Linked DNA regions of Danio rerio. The protein of the gene in region 4 interacts with the protein of the main gene of each other region in a pairwise test. Links are inferred from orthologs where the notes say so. Each region holds a gene or a part of one and is shown on either strand. Other genes may lie near its edges. The genes, in order: enox2, tacc3, trim2a and cib3.

What was found.
Region 1: the proteins of cib3 (region 4) and enox2 interact in binary tests that used the Homo sapiens proteins (3 or more experiments, as listed by UniProt). The two-hybrid records come from large-scale screens. The link is inferred for Danio rerio from reciprocal best matches to the Homo sapiens genes CIB3 and ENOX2.
Region 2: the proteins of cib3 (region 4) and tacc3 interact in binary tests that used the Homo sapiens proteins (3 or more experiments, as listed by UniProt). The two-hybrid records come from large-scale screens. The link is inferred for Danio rerio from reciprocal best matches to the Homo sapiens genes CIB3 and TACC3.
Region 3: the proteins of cib3 (region 4) and trim2a interact in binary tests that used the Homo sapiens proteins (3 or more experiments, as listed by UniProt). The two-hybrid records come from large-scale screens. The link is inferred for Danio rerio from reciprocal best matches to the Homo sapiens genes CIB3 and TRIM2.

What each region holds. Positions count from the first base shown.
Region 1 is NC_133189.1:27,720,668-27,724,235, forward strand, and holds part of enox2 (ecto-NOX disulfide-thiol exchanger 2), read left to right. Parts: intron 1-1,884; coding exon 1,885-1,991; intron 1,992-3,568. UniProt on the Homo sapiens protein: May be involved in cell growth. Probably acts as a terminal oxidase of plasma electron transport from cytosolic NAD(P)H via hydroquinones to acceptors at the cell surface.
Region 2 is NC_133188.1:39,351,330-39,355,665, reverse strand, and holds the start of tacc3 (transforming acidic coiled-coil-containing protein 3), read left to right. Parts: upstream 1-1,497; 5' UTR 1,498-1,614; intron 1,615-2,226; exon of another isoform or gene 2,227-2,344; intron 2,345-2,804; 5' UTR 2,805-2,805; coding exon 2,806-2,970; intron 2,971-3,348; coding exon 3,349-3,476; intron 3,477-4,045; coding exon 4,046-4,336. Other genes in the region: mfsd2aa (sodium-dependent lysophosphatidylcholine symporter 1-A), read right to left, coding at 1,053-1,112. UniProt on the Homo sapiens protein: Plays a role in the microtubule-dependent coupling of the nucleus and the centrosome. Involved in the processes that regulate centrosome-mediated interkinetic nuclear migration (INM) of neural progenitors.
Region 3 is NC_133176.1:26,945,778-26,949,345, forward strand, and holds part of trim2a (tripartite motif-containing protein 2), read right to left. Parts: intron 2,097-3,568; coding exon 1,993-2,096; intron 1,852-1,992; coding exon 1,684-1,851; intron 1,174-1,683; coding exon 1,005-1,173; intron 306-1,004; coding exon 235-305; intron 1-234. UniProt on the Homo sapiens protein: UBE2D1-dependent E3 ubiquitin-protein ligase that mediates the ubiquitination of NEFL and of phosphorylated BCL2L11. Plays a neuroprotective function. May play a role in neuronal rapid ischemic tolerance.
Region 4 is NC_133177.1:58,533,026-58,537,251, forward strand, and holds the start of cib3 (calcium and integrin-binding family member 3), read left to right. Parts: upstream 1-1,358; 5' UTR 1,359-2,305; coding exon 2,306-2,449; intron 2,450-4,226. UniProt on the Homo sapiens protein: Acts a an auxiliary subunit of the sensory mechanoelectrical transduction (MET) channel in hair cells. Plays a role in regulating hair cell MET channel localization and function.

The DNA.
Region 1 (3,568 bases), on a different chromosome or scaffold from region 4:
CTTTTGCATTGATTTGCTCACAATGTTATGTGTATTTGTCCTGTATTTGTCAAGAGACAGTATTTACATTAAAAATCAGATTTATTTAGTCATTCGGATGAGATGTTAAACCGAGGTCCTGACTCTCTGTGGTCATTAAAAATCCCTTGGCACTTCTCGCAAAAAGTAGGGGTGTAACTCCAGTGTCCCAAATTCCCTCCATCATCCCTTAAGATCATGGCCTCCCAATAACTCCCATCCACCGAATTCCACTGGTGCCGTTTTCCTGTGGCTGCCATAGCATCAACTAAGTGGATGCAGTGCACTGGTGGTGGTGTGGAGAGACCCTCTCTCATTATAGCGAAGCGCTTTGGATGTATGGCCATACACAATAAATACGCTATATAAATACACATTACTTACTTACTTACTTACAGCATTTTATTGAAACGCTTAATTTCAGTTTGCTATTAAACTATAAAAGACAAAAAGATCACGTTTAATTCATAATGACAGTCTTTGTTAAATGGATTCTCCCAAATGCTCCCCATCATTCTCTTTTCAGATGAGATGGTGGGCCAAATCAAAGCTTACCATGGGCTAGCTTTGGGCCTTCGACATCTCTGCTCTAAGTAGTGAAAATAAAATGTAGTTTTCCAAATGCAAATGTTATCTAATCATGCATCATAATTATTCGTTTTTTTACATATTTTAACGTGTGGTTTTATGAAAAGTACATTACCTTATGTTTAAATTGACACAGAAATGTAAAATTGACATATTTTAAGAGTGATATTATATTATTATAATAGTAATATTACAAATGAGACATGTTTTCAACATCAAATTGTTTAATATTGATGTTAAGTAGACATACATTAAGACATTTACGTAATATTACAAGTAGATGTTTACAAAATCCTTATGAATGTCCATATGAATCATGATCGGTGTTATGAACTTGAAAAATTTAAATGCAACACCAATGCAATTATTGAAATGCAAGTCAATATGTATTAACAGCACTTACAAATGTAGTTGTAACTATTATTGACATACAGTAGGTTTTATCGGTATAGGTTGTGTCTTTTTGGTAGATACATTTCTTGAATTGTTATGCTTGATTATTAATAAATTAGGTCATACTTTGTTTTGATGGTCCGTTTGCTGAATTTAAGTTACATTGCATCTCCATGCCAGCTAATTCTCATTAGATTATAAGTAGACTGTTAGGTTGGGGTTATGGTTACTGTAAGTTGACATGTACTTGCAAAGTTTTTTATAGTCAGTTAAATATCTGTTTAGCAACAAAATCAACATATATTAAGCAGACAGGTTACTAATACTCAAATGGGCCATAAAAATAAAGTGTTACCATAAATTAAAACAGAGTTGCAATTAATTATGAACATGGGCTTCTTAGAAAGTATTACAAATTTTCTTTCTTCCAAAGACCGCAAAAGGAGAATCATCCAACAGTTCAGAGACAAATAGTTCACCTTAAATTGAAAATGGTATAATTAACTAATCCTCATGTTGTTCCAAACTTGGAAAATTATCATCTGTAGAGAACAAAAGATGAAATTTGGGCCCCTAGTGTTGGTTAAACAAATACACAGCAGTCAAAGACATGCGGTAATTCATGGTTGGAACTAGATGAGGGTTAATTTTTGAGTGGACGACCTTTTTACCATAATTGTGATCTAATGCAGATCTCGTCCAGCTACAGTACACCACTCACCCCAGCTCAGTGTTTGTGCTGTTTAGAGGGGGGGTAGGGGGGAAAGAACATCACTTCCTTCCAACCTGACACAGATTTTTTCACTCCTCTGCACCTTCCCAATCGCCCCTCTCTCTCTTTCTTTCTTTGGACGCCCATACTGGCCCCTGCATCCCCTGCCACAGTTGAGCAGATTGTGTCTGTATTCCACGCTTCTTCCAAACAAAAGGCATGGGACCATTTCTCCAAAGCCCAGCGCAAGAACCTGGACATGTGGCGAAAGCAAGCAGAGGTTGGTGTTTTCATTTCTTTAAGTGAATGTGGTCATGCTTCACATCTTTTGAAATTAATTATGTAGAATGTTTCTGTTAGAGATTAGTCTTTTCCATTTCCTCTGCCCATTTCCCTTTCCCTGCAAGCTTCCCATGTGTACTTGAAGTATTTTGAAGTCCTCTTTATTTTTAGAAAATGTTTATGGTATGATAGTCTAAATGCTCAGCTTTCTCTACTAGTAAAATCTGTTCCGAGTCTGCCTGAGATTTCAGCGGTTCACAACTGGCAGGTAACAGTTTGTTTTGTTTGTTTTTTTTTTTATCCCTGGTAGAAACAATAGAAATATGAATTTCTCCACAATCTCATTGGTGCTGCAAAAACTAATATAAAAGGAATAAAAGGAACATAATTATTTAAACAAAAAGCTTAAAATGGTCATTATAAGCCATTATAAGCCAATTCATTAAAACAATCCACAATTTTTCTTGTTTATAATGGCCCAATCTGGTGTATAATTAGCGGCTTAATTTCTATTGGTAGCAACATAAAAACACTATTTAACATGGAACAGAAGGTTGATTTTGTTTATACTTGATATGACTGAAAGCTTTCCTCAGCAAGTGGTGTGAGCAGGACAGGATTGTACATGTGTATTTAAAGCAATTTGGAAGTAATACAAAAATAATAATTATAAATTCTAAATTAAATTATCGCTAACATTACTCTATTTTAACGATCTTGGCGCAAAGTTCAAAGCATTAAGAGCGTGTCCGAATCCACGTTTGCTATTTAAAGGATGGAAAAACCTGCTTTGTGCCATGGCACATGGTCTAACAGGGTTGAGCTTATTCTTTTAATGACTTATAGGTGTGTTTTGATAATAAACCAATCAGAGTCTCATCTCCCATTCCCTTTAAGAGTCAGTTGCGTCACACCAAAGAGCATTTGAGTCTATTAAGCAGTCTATTTCAGATCCTCAAAATAGCAACCCGCCAGTAATGCACCTTAACACACCTCAATTTTTAGACCAGAACGCCTATGGGCGCTCAAATGAGTGCAAATACATTTAATATTTAAACAGCATGGTGCAACACGTCAAAATTACACTTGCATCAAGCTGAGACTATCAAACAACATTTGTGTCATACCTTGCGCCAGGTGTATGATAGGGCCCTTCATTTTGATGGTCTGTTTGAGTATTAGTAGACTGTCTGCTGGGTAGTAGTGGGTAGTCTTGAACTTCAGTGTGTGTTTGAGCAAGCAAGGTAAAAATCACGCAAGAAAAAAAAATATGTGTGTCTCCGAATTCTGCTATAGAAAAGTGAAGCTAAGATGTTGCATGTACGGTTGAAGTCAGAATTATTAGCCCCCTTTTTATTTATATATTTTTGTTTTTTTATATTTCTTGAATGATGTTTAACAAAGCAAGGAAATTTTCACAGTATGTCTGATAATATTTTTTTCTTCTGGAGAAAGTCTTATTTGTTGTATTTTGGCTAGAATAAAAGCAGTTTTAAATTTTTTTAAATCCATTTTAAGGTCAAAAATGTTTGCCCCTTTAGGCTACATTTGTTTCAATAGTCAACAGAACAAACC
Region 2 (4,336 bases), on a different chromosome or scaffold from region 4:
AGGTTTTAACAGAAGGGAATTAAATCACTGCTTGATTCGGAAAATTCAGAATAAAAATCAACAAATTGGGTATAAACCTCTGTAAACATTTTATCTATATATGAATTTTATTACTTTCTATATTTATTAATATCGATAAGAACAAATCTGTATAAATCTGGAGTCCAAAAGTGATTAAAAATCATTCTGAGAAAAATTTGTATTGTAATTGAAATCTATGGAAACACTATAAACTTTTAAACGTGTTTTTTTTACGTTTAAATTTAAAAATTTCTCAAAATTGACAGGTACATCAAATGTATGCTTTTGCTTGCCATGACTGCTGGTAATGATTAAAAAAATGGGTAATTAAAGCTAGGTAAATCATAAAAAAAAGTTATTGTACCCACTATACTTTTTAAAAAGATAATTATGTTCATAATAATGCACAAAAACAGCAATAAACATATATATTTCAAGGCGTTTTACCAAATTCATGGTAAATGGTTTTTACCTTGTGAAAGAAATTTTGAGGATTCTTTTTTAAAATCACCACTTAATTCTAAAAAAATCACTTTTTGTAGAAGAAAATGGAGTATTTGTGATCAAACTAATTATGCATAAGCATGTGCCTCTGCAATCTTTTACCTTTATATTAATATTATTATTTTCTGTATGTATTAGCTTAGAAACTAATAAAACTGTAAAAACTTGCGTCCGTAAATGATGCTGAAGTGATTTTTGCATGACAAAAATATATTGAAATAAATATGCATTGTAATTGAAATCTATACAAACAATTTCTTTACAATACATTTTTTTAAATTCAAAACAACAAGTACATTGTCATTTAAATGACAAGTATATCACATGCATGTATTGCCATGTCTGATGGTAATAATAAAAAATAGTTATTATTAAAGCTTAAAAAAATGCATCAACAACAAAATGATTTAATGTATGCGTTGATTAACAGCAAATATATTATCAAAAACTAAAATTATAAAAGACAATTATGTCCATAACATGCACTGTTATTGCAATATGAAACGAAATTCATATTTAATACATACCCTGTTGCAAAGCTTGTCGTCACGTTCATTGTATGGAGAAAACATACAGTGAAAGTACATTGTGGTTCAAAACATCACTCTTCCCTGATAACTTTCCATTTTCAAGACAACTCAAAACTAAAGTATCATCTTCAGTACAGCGAAACACTGTAAACGAAAACAAAACAGTTATATCTAATATCTAAGCTACAACAACAGCAGTAGTTTACACTGTCAAATCTACACTTGTTTTCAACAAGTAAAAGGGTTAAATGAGGTTATTTATCTTCATAAACCGTCTGCGTCAACGGCTTACCCTATTGGCTGGTTTGGATGTCTGTCAAATGTATATCCTGTACAAAAGCGCAGATTGACGTGCGATGCTATTGGTCGATTCGTATAATCGCCCCGCCTGACGAGAGTTGATTCTTGCATTTAATTGGCTGAGAGTGCGCCGTTTAAATTTGAACCGTTTCAAACGGGGAAAGTTATAAATGCAACAACAACATCTCTATGCTGTGTGTCGAGCTGACTGTCTCTGCGAAGAAAACGGTTTTTATTAGATTTGAGCAGTTTGAATAAGGTACGTATTTTAGAAAACCGCCCCCGAGCCACGTTTATAGGATTGTAAGTTATTAATGCGCGATATGAAACCATAAAGGTAACTTAATCGCTTTGACTTTTTTGCTACGTGAGTGTTGCCAGAACGTCGAACATTCTGATGTAACGTTAACTTAATCCTGTTATTTTAAGATTGCGATAAGTGATTGTTAGCTATCCTTTATGTAACGTTAGAGATTTTTTTTCTGTTATAGTTAAATTTCTAAAGTTCGTATGGAAAGGGCATAAAAATGTAGAATTAACATTAAGTATGACGTTACGTGTAACTTATTGATTTTGAGCACTGTTGGAGATAACGTTAATTTATTTGCATTAAAAACTTTTTTTTAAATAAATAACAAATTCTATATTTATTTATTCATTCATGTATTCAATGTTGTTTTGTCATCCACGTGGGTATGTGAGCTGTTAGGCTAAATTCTGTCTTGCACTCAATTCTCTGGCTGTGCTAAACGTTATGTGGTTTATTTATATTTTTCCACTGAAGTGAGGGATTGATCTGATATCTCACTTTTGTTCAGGTTAAAATGTGATCATTTGATTTATGATAGTGAGCTGTTTATCACCTGTCCAGGTAAGCTGTAGGAGAGAGAAGCTGTCAGAAGTACCTGTCAAATACAAAGCTGACAATCATATTGTCAGGCCTACATAGTTGAGCAGAATCCAGGCAAGAACAGATAAGGCCAGAAGTGGTAATGATTTTGTTTTTTGATTTTGTTTGTCAATCTCTTCCTTGTTCCTACTTATTCTCACAAAAAAATCACAGTATCAGGGGATTGGCATAGTGTTTGATCATGATATATATATATATATATATATATATATATATATATATATATATATATATATATATATATATATATATATATATATATATATTTTTTTTTTTTTCTTTTCTTTTTTTTTTCACTAAAAAGAAGCACTTTGTTCCCTCAGCACAAGGCTAAATTGTCACTGGTTTGGGTTATTAGTCACAGTGGGTTAGTCTGAAAGGAGATGCAACAGATTTGAAGTGTCTCAGGACTAGGGTCTCTGGGTGTTGGGTCAGATGCCCGCCTCCGGGTCTTATCAGCAAAAGCAGCTGTTTATGGTGCCTGCTGGGCGTGACTTTCCAAAACCCATGTTGTCATTTTCTGTGTCTCTGTTTTACAGTATGAGTTCTGACGCGCTGAAGGAGAATCAGGGAGCTGTACGGATGAACAGCAATTCTGAATTCGCTTGTGACATTTTCATGTTGGATCAGCCGACTGGCAGACCCTCGATTTTGCGGCAGTCGCAGGCTGACAACATTAACAGGACTGCTCCTAGAGCAGCAAAGGTGGGCTTGACAAATTTCCATGCAGTATTTTTTCTGTACTGTATAATGTGTAATAAAATCACTGGTTATAAACCAAGTGTTTTCCATTTTAAAAAGTAACTTGTTCCTTTGACTGTAAATTTACCTTTTCTATAGACACTTTCTTTAGTGTCATATGAGCACATCTGAGTGACTTTTCAAGAAACAAAAACACTTATGAATGGCAGGTCGATTTTGTTGAAGCCATGCTACATTTTATTTTGGATTCTTTAATATTCACAAATGCAGTATTTATTTGTACTATTATAAATTTTATTTTGCATGTAATAATTGAACCCTTTCTTGGCCTTGTACTACAGCTTAGACTAACCTGCACGTTACTTAATTTCTCTTATATAGGTTTGTTTTCAAACCCCACGGCGAGATCCAGTGACAAAGAAGATCATGTCTCCAAGCCGCACCAGTAGGCCGATCAGCCAGGATGATCACAAAAATGCACTAGAGACTCTCACAGGCCTTTCTGACCAGTGAGTAAATTACCTGCATCTCCAATTGTTCAGGACTGTTGATGACCATTTGTGTATTTGGTGTACCTTTTATTTATATTAATTTCCACCAAAGGCACTTCTTCGAACAGACCCAGAGACTTCTGGTGTAAAATGATGGGTAAAACATAATGATCCTGTTTCCAAATAATATTAACATGGGTTTTCAAAAATTTTGTCTGAAAGCTGTAAACTTGCTTGGGATGTATTCACGGTGAAAGGACATATTTCTTTCAAATCTTTCACAATATAATGATTCAACTTTATAATTGAATCCACATATCATGTTTGACCTGTGGTGCATGCTCAAATAGGATTCCTATTTGACATTACTTTTTCTTCTTGACTATTGTTGATGCCCACATTGCAAAACAATATTTCAGTGCTAAAACAATATTTTGTCAACTTTAATGTACCACTCTAATAGTACAAGGTATTCATAAGAAAACTAGGTTAAAGATTAATTTTTAAAATATTTTTATGTAAGCCTCTTAACCTGTTTTTAATGGACAAATATGCTAACGTGTAAAACCTCCTTTTGTGTTTTTCAGGAGTTCATTGATGAATAACACTCACACCACACCAATTGACATAGAATGTAACAGTGTTGCTTTACCTGATGATGACATGCCTGTTCAGAGCAGAGGGGCCTATTCCTTTGATCTTGACAATATTGATGCCATCAACCCTTTCCAGGGCTCCAATAAAATGGCGAATTCCCCACCTAAATCTTCTGCTTTTACGGAGGCGGCAACATCAGAGCTTGTAGAGTCTAACACAACCATAGCCCCTGTTTCTGCACCCCAGGTAGAGGTAGAGACAGAGGCAGAAGTGACTGACAG
Region 3 (3,568 bases), on a different chromosome or scaffold from region 4:
ACACTTTATTTATTTATTTATTTTTAATCGGCCACATAGTTAATTTACTTTACTCAATATATTTTTAGGGCATCGGGCTTTACTATTATTTGAAGTCAACTAATTGATTTTTCGGCATTTCCAAATAAAAAAAAATAAAAAAAATTTTTTTTTTGGTGGACACAGCGCAATATATCATGACATTTGATTAAAATATTAACAAATTGGCAATATACTTCAGAACAGACATTTTACCTTTACAGAATGATTGTGGAAATCGGTCACAATGACTTCATTATTCTGATTCACTGCTGCAAAGTGAGGACCTATAAAAAGGAAAGAAATAAGTGTTAGCTTGCCCTTTTATGTGCTTCCAGAAATTACTTTGTCATAATTACAACTTTGACCCTGTTTCTGCCTGGTATTACCATGCATTGTAAGTGACAATCACAAGCAGTTATTCTTATCACGCATTACCATTTCTAGCTGATATTAACATCAGTTTAAATGCATTTTTAGTGACCTTAACTTCAAAACACTCTACACCAATTTTGCAGGAGGGCTCATTGTGATGTTGTGGCATTCCAAATTCATAACACGTCTTTGATTCAACCACGTGACCAAAATTAAATCAAATAACCAAAATCAAATCAAGAAAGCAATCTGATCAAATGTATTTACTCTGAAAGTGGTGTAAAGTGGACAAGCTCAAAAGTTGTAGACACCATTTTGTTTGTGTGCATATGTAACATACAGTATGTAAAATATACATCAAATACTTGTTTATATTAGTAAATATAAATGACTGTAATATTTTAATGTTAATAGAACACAGTATAGAAGTGTAAAAAACAAGTTAGTACAGCAAAATTTCTTTCCTACATCATATTTAATTATGACTGCTCAGATATAAAATCTTTTAACTTCTTATAATTTGGGAGACTATTCACTTATTTATTTATTTATGACAACTTGTACAAGAAGGCTGTATCCATTAAGTCCCCATATGTAATGAAAGCAAGCACCTGCAAATTGCTTGTCACTGTTGCCTCGGTTGCCAAACTTGGAGACCAGTTTTCCATTAGGCTGGAAAATGAAGACGCAACAAGATTTATTGTCTACCACAATGATGTGGCCATTTCTGTCAACCGATACACCCTTAGGACCCATGAGCTTCCCTGAGCCAATTTTACTCTAGAAAAAAGGCACAAAAGAAAAAAAAATCAATATGTTACATGCTTTAAAGAGATAGTTCACCCAAAATTGAAAAATTCTGTCATCATTTACTCCCACTTCACTTGTAACAAAAGTGTTTGAGTTTCTTTTCTCTACAAAAAATTATATGTATATATTTTTTTTAATTGTTAGAAACCATTGACTTCCATCGTATTTGTGTTTCTCCTGCTATGGAAGTCAATGATTTCTAACATTCTTCAAAATATCTTGAAGTTTTCCTGTGTTTAACAGGAAAAATAAATGGATAGAGATTTAGAACCACAAGAGAGTAAGTAAATAAGAGTACATTTTCATTTTGGGTTAACTATTAGTTTACGGACAACATTTTTATGTGTATTAAAAACAATTCCAAAAGTAACTGATATTATCAAGTATCTGGTAACAACAAATGAATCTGAATTTAAAAACAATATCACATAAATTGTTACAACTTTTAAAATAAAACTTAAGCAGATGCGTATACTGTACCTTGAACTTGCCATCACTGGAAAAAATGCTGACCCATTTGTTGTCATAGTCAGCAATGATGATGTCACCACTGGGGTGCACAGCAACACCAGTAGGCCGTTGAAGCTGTCCCGGTGATCGGCCTCTGATTCCGAAACGACTCTTAAACTGGCCATCATTTGAAAATATCTGCAAGAACACAATTTACATTCAACACTAAATGAATCATTTCTTCTATGACAAATGTCAGTAATTTGAACAGGCATTAAGCAACCCACAGAAAACAAGCAAAAAAAAAAAAAAAAGATTTTTAAAGTGTGGAATTTATACCTGAACACACTGATTGTTACTATCCGCTATTAAGACTTTGCCAACAGAAGAAGCAGCAACTCCCTGGAGATTGGTAAATTCACCCTTATTTCTGCCTTTTGTTCCTTTGGGACAAAATATTTTTTATTAACATAAGCATTAAATGCAAATTAAATGCAAAACATTCCCCACTGAGGTTTCAAATGATTAGAAACAAAACAAATATATTCAGCCCAAATTTTCAGCATTCATGCAATCTTGGACCAAGTGTTTTGGTGCAGATCTGAGAGTAATTGCCATGTACATGTATTACCAAAGAAAGTGAGCTAAGGGAGAAAAGTAGTTGATTTTCTGACTCAATTATGAAAGAATCTTAAATATGAGGTGTAAACCAGGCCTTCAAGATGTACACTCCTGATCAAATTATTAAGACCAATAGACCAGTTTAACACAATAATAAGTGAAGTTTTGCAAACTAATTTCTAGAGGTGCATGTCATGGGATTGACTGCAGCTGGTCCCTATCGCTAATCATTAGCTAGCCAATCGGATCATTCCACATTCGTTTTGGAAGACACACACACTTTTTAAGCAGCACACACACTCACCCCACTTAGTTTGAACTTCTATCATGGTACTCCCCTTCACGTGACTGCCGTTCCTCTGACTCTGGTCTTTTAACAGTCCACTCCACTCGTCTGCACTCTATGGGTGACCGGGCTTTCTCATCCCTGGCTCTGAGTCTCTGGAACTCTCTCCCTTATAACATTAGACTAGCTGAATCTTTTAAATTGTTTAAATCATCCTTGAAAACTCACTACTTTACACTCGCCTATTCATGAGGAGTGCATTCCTGGTTTGTTTTATGTTTTAAAATATTTTAATGTTTTATCATTCTGAATGTTTTATCTTAAATAATGCAATTTTACTGTTATTCTAAACTGTTTTATATTTGTATGTTTTTGTGTAAAATGCTTTTGAAAATTATTATCATAAAATGTCTGTCAGTTCGAGACCATGAATGCCTTTCGGGAAGCAATCTACACCACATGGAATTAATGTTCCCAACTGCCTCCAGGAAACTGTTGAATAAAGCATGCCAAAATGAATGTTAAAGTGATAATGACATTGCCTGCTCTGTTTTTTTGTCATGTGCTTCAAGCTCTTCTTTTGGCATTACAACCTGTTGTGATCCACCAGAAACAAAATGTGAATACTTGTCATTTTCCACCTGGTCTTAAGACTTTGAACTAGAGTATACAGTAGGTATAGTTCACCCCAAAATGATCATATTTGTTGTTTACTCCTCTATTTGATCCAAAGCAGTTTGACATATATTTTTAAGAATAATCAGAAGATTTTTTTTTGAAGAAATTTGGAAACCTGTAACCATTATTGTCCATAGTTTTGTTTTTCCTGTTATGGAAGTCAGTTGTAACAGGTTTGCAGCTTTCTTCAAGATAGATTTAATGTTCAACAGAAGAAACTCAAAGTTTGGAACCACTTAAATATGCGTAAATTCAAAAGGCTGAGTGAAATATCCCTTTAATGGCCCATATGGATAATATGGTTCAGTACACTTTTATGGCTGTTTCCAC
Region 4 (4,226 bases):
AGGCTACACAAAACAGAAACATGATTAAAATACATAAAACCATGATTTCAGAGTATTTGTACAAGTCGGGATTCGAACCCAAAACATCATGCTAAGCATAGAATCAATTAGCAAACCCACAGAGCTCTAAGCCATATGAGACAGAGATAATTTGGAGACCTTGGCAGTCAAATTAGGATTCGCCAGGTCTCGAAACGTTTCTAAGCTGATCGATGCTTTGAATCGCTTTAGTCACGTAACTAGGTGTTTCGAAACACTTTAGTCACGTGACTTGGGTGCTTCGGATCATGCTTCGGTGCAGTGATTCGAAACACTTGCGCTTCGAGATCTCGACACTGTGTCGAAACATCAGTTTCACGTCAGCCAACCCTAAGTGACTGTATCATCATCAATAACACTACCTGTTTAGCAAAAACGTTAAAAAAAACTTAATCTTACCAATGAAATGTTCTGCCTTTGTGCTTTGTTTTCTTTGTTTGCTCATTACTACACCCATAGACAGCGCTAAAGTCCCGCATCTTCACGTAATAACACTGTCTTGACTAGTGCGGTTGAATGACATTTGTCCTGGGAGCACTGTACCAATGTGAAAGCGCTATAAACACATGCTCAGGGTCCCTATGCGATATCTAGTGTATATATCTATGTCACAAATTGAGAAGCGGGGAAAGGAGGCGGGGTGGAGGGACAACACGGGGAATCCTTCACAAACTGAGGAGCGATCACAAACCGAAAGCGGCGAGAGCGTCAAAGTAGCCAGAAGTCATTCATTTTTTAATGAGAACCGTCTTCATTGGCTATGATGCAGTTCGGCGGCAAGCAATCAGAATGAAGTAGTCCACCGCTTGAGAGGAGTTCAGAGAACACAGACCTGTGAACTTTGGTTCCGACCACAGTTGTTCCCAAGAGTTTGATTATTGCGGTTCCTGGAATTTAAATTTTTGAAAATCGCGACGACGTGGGGCCCCCTAATCACGCGGGGCCCCCCCGTGGTGCGTGCCCTGCAGGTCCGTCCGCTACGCCACTCGGAGTAATACGGAAGAGTGAGAAGGCTGTACAAATGCTGTTATTGCAGAACATGGCATGGCTATCAGCCAATAAGATTTAAGAACCAGACAGAACTGTTGTATAAATGTGTGTGTGTGTGTGTATGTGTGTGTATATATATATATATATATATTTACATTTACATTTAGTCATTTAGCCGACGCTTTTATCCAAAGCGACTTACAAATGAGGACAAGGAAGCAATTTACACAATTATAAGAGCAACAATGAATAAGTGCTCTAGGCAAGTTTCAGGTCTGTAAAGTCTAAGGAAAGCATTAGTAATTTTTTTTTTTTTTTTTTTTGTGGTTAGTGGAGGAGTCTGAGAGGTAGTTGCATATTACTAAGGAAAGTAGAGACTAAATAGTTGAGTTTTTAGTCGCTTTTTGAAGACAGGGAGTAATTGTCGTTCTGATACAGTTAGGGAGTTCCTTCCACCAACTGGGCAGATTGAGCGCGAGCGTTCGGGAAAGTGATTTGTTCCCTCTTTATACTCTTCATTCACAGAACGTAAGTTTCTGGAGGGCACATAGATCTGCAGAAGTGAGAGCAGATAAGAAGGGGCGCAGCCAGAAATCGCTTTGTAAGCAAACATTAGTGCTTTGAATTTGATGCAATCAGCAACTGGCAGCCAGTGCAAACGAATGAGTAGCGGAGTGACATGTGCTCGTTTAGGTTCATTAAAGACCACTCGTGCTGCTGCGTTCTATATAAAGATATAATTTGTTTGTTTTATTGATTGACGATGTTTTCAATCTTTATTTTATATTTAGAACAAACTTTTTTAACTTTCACTATTGATTAATTTAATGCAAGCTTGCTAAATAAAAGTATTAATTTCTTACATTTAAAAAATGTACTAAAACCAGACATTTGAATGGTAGTTTAGCCTGCAAAATGCAAACAAAGAAACAAAAACTAAATTTAACAGAACATTTTTTATTTTTTGTGTCTGTAGATATTACAAGCAAGGTTTAACGGTCAAGATAATATCGAGGATCGATCTTCAAATAATTATGGTTAGCACTTACAGTCATGAACAAGCACAGATGCTCTGTTGGTCTGATTCTCTCATTGTGTATATGAGCGCTGAATATTATTGTACAGTGTATATTTGCAGTGTAACATGACGCTCGTCTCCCCTGCTCTCCACTTGCACTCCCCTTGACCGACGGGCCGCATTCACGCCGGCTAAATGATGAAATGCTGCCATTATTGGAGAACTAAAGGCCTCGCAGCGGCCGACACCTGATCCTCCATGTCTCACTGCAGCCTTTTGTGCCAGTTTTTCATATCTGAAATATCTGCAGGCATTCGGCTGCAGTGCACAGTCTGCCATGGCACTGCGAGAATGGGGAACAAGCAGACCATCTTCACATCCCAGCAGCTGGACGCATATCAGGTAAGTCTTGTCAGGGTTTTATAAATATATATATATATATATATATATATATATATATATATATATATATATATATATATATATATATATATATATATATATATACAGTTGAAGTATTATTAGGCCTCCTGAATATTATTTTTTCCCAATTTCAGTTTAATGAAGAGATTTTAACACATTTCTAATCATACTAGCTTTAATAACTCATTTTTAATAACTGATTTCTTTTATCTTTGCACATATTGTTTGACTAGATATTTCTCAAGATGCTAGTATTCAGCTTAAAGTGACATTTAAACTCTTAACTAGGTTAATCAGGGTAATTAGGCAAGTCATTGTATAACAGTGGTTAACATTGTATAATATTGCTTAAGGGGGCTAATAATATTGACCTTAATATGGGTTTAAAACAATTAAAAACTGCTTTTATTCTAACCAAAATAAAACAAATAAGATTTTCTCTAGAAGAAAAAATATTGTAGGAAACACTGAAAACTTTCTTGCTCTGTTTAACGTGGGAAATATTTAAAAAATGAAAATAAAATTCACAGAAGGGCGAATAAATTTGACTTTAACTGTATTTATTATTATATTTGGATATTGTTTTTAAGTTTGTTTTTAATGTAAAAGAGGTTTGTATAATGTAAAAGAGGCTCTTATTGTGTAAAACAGTCTCTTATGCTGCATTATAGGCTACTGTAAGAAATGCTAGTGTTTTTCCCATACTGATAAACTTCCGGTGACCTGTTATTGTGCATTTGTTTTTCCGTTTTATACGGTTCCTTTTACAGCATCAATGTTGTAATGTCATTAAAATACATTCAGTTAAATAAACTTTGACATTTATTTAGTTGCTCAAGCGTAAAACGAGACAAAAAGCCGTTTGCTCGCACACGCCAGTCAGAATCAGCAGGTTAGCGCTGAAGCTCCATTGAATATACTAGGGTAAAACAAATGCTCATATTATAAAGACATGGCGGGGAAAATGTAATTTAATGCAGCGCTTCTTGTACAATCTGAGAACCACTTTATATCAGATATCACTCAGCCAGAGGAGATCGCTGATTTTTAAAGAAAACTGACCTTAAATGTGCAGATTTTTGTATTGGCGTCGAGTTGACTGGAAGCGATTTACCCAGGTTACTGGCAAATTAAAAGTCCTATTAGCATGCTTCGGCATATACCCTATTAGTGCACTGTAAAAAAAAATGTAAATACCGTGGGAAAAAAATGGAAATGTTTTTTAAATAGTAATATAATAGTAATTTTCTACATTAATATATTTTATAATTAGTGATATAACGGATTACAAATCTCATGGTTCGGATCAAATACGGTTAATAGGTGCGTTCGACATGAAGCACGGCTGCAGCCAGTGATCTGCGAGATTAGCCGAGCGGGGGCGGAGTTGAAAACGGAGCTGTCAAGCCAGACAGCCGGACACTTCAAAGTTGCTGCAGTCATGATGAACGATCGCATGGCGTCATCATCATTTTTTTTTAGAACAAAAGACTTACAGTACAAATAAAACAGAAAACAGTCTCTACAAACTATAGTTCATTTTTAAACAATATGGGTATTATGAATTAAATATATAACAATCGCATGAGAGAAAAGGGAAGGGATAAAGGGAAGCAAGAGGGCAATATAAACATTAAAACGAACTGGGGCCTGTTTCAGTAAGGAGGTTCAAACAACTCTGAGTTTAAACTTGAACTCTGAGTTGATTTACCGAGAGATTAAAAACTCTGAGTTTTCGGTTTCAGAATAGCTGATA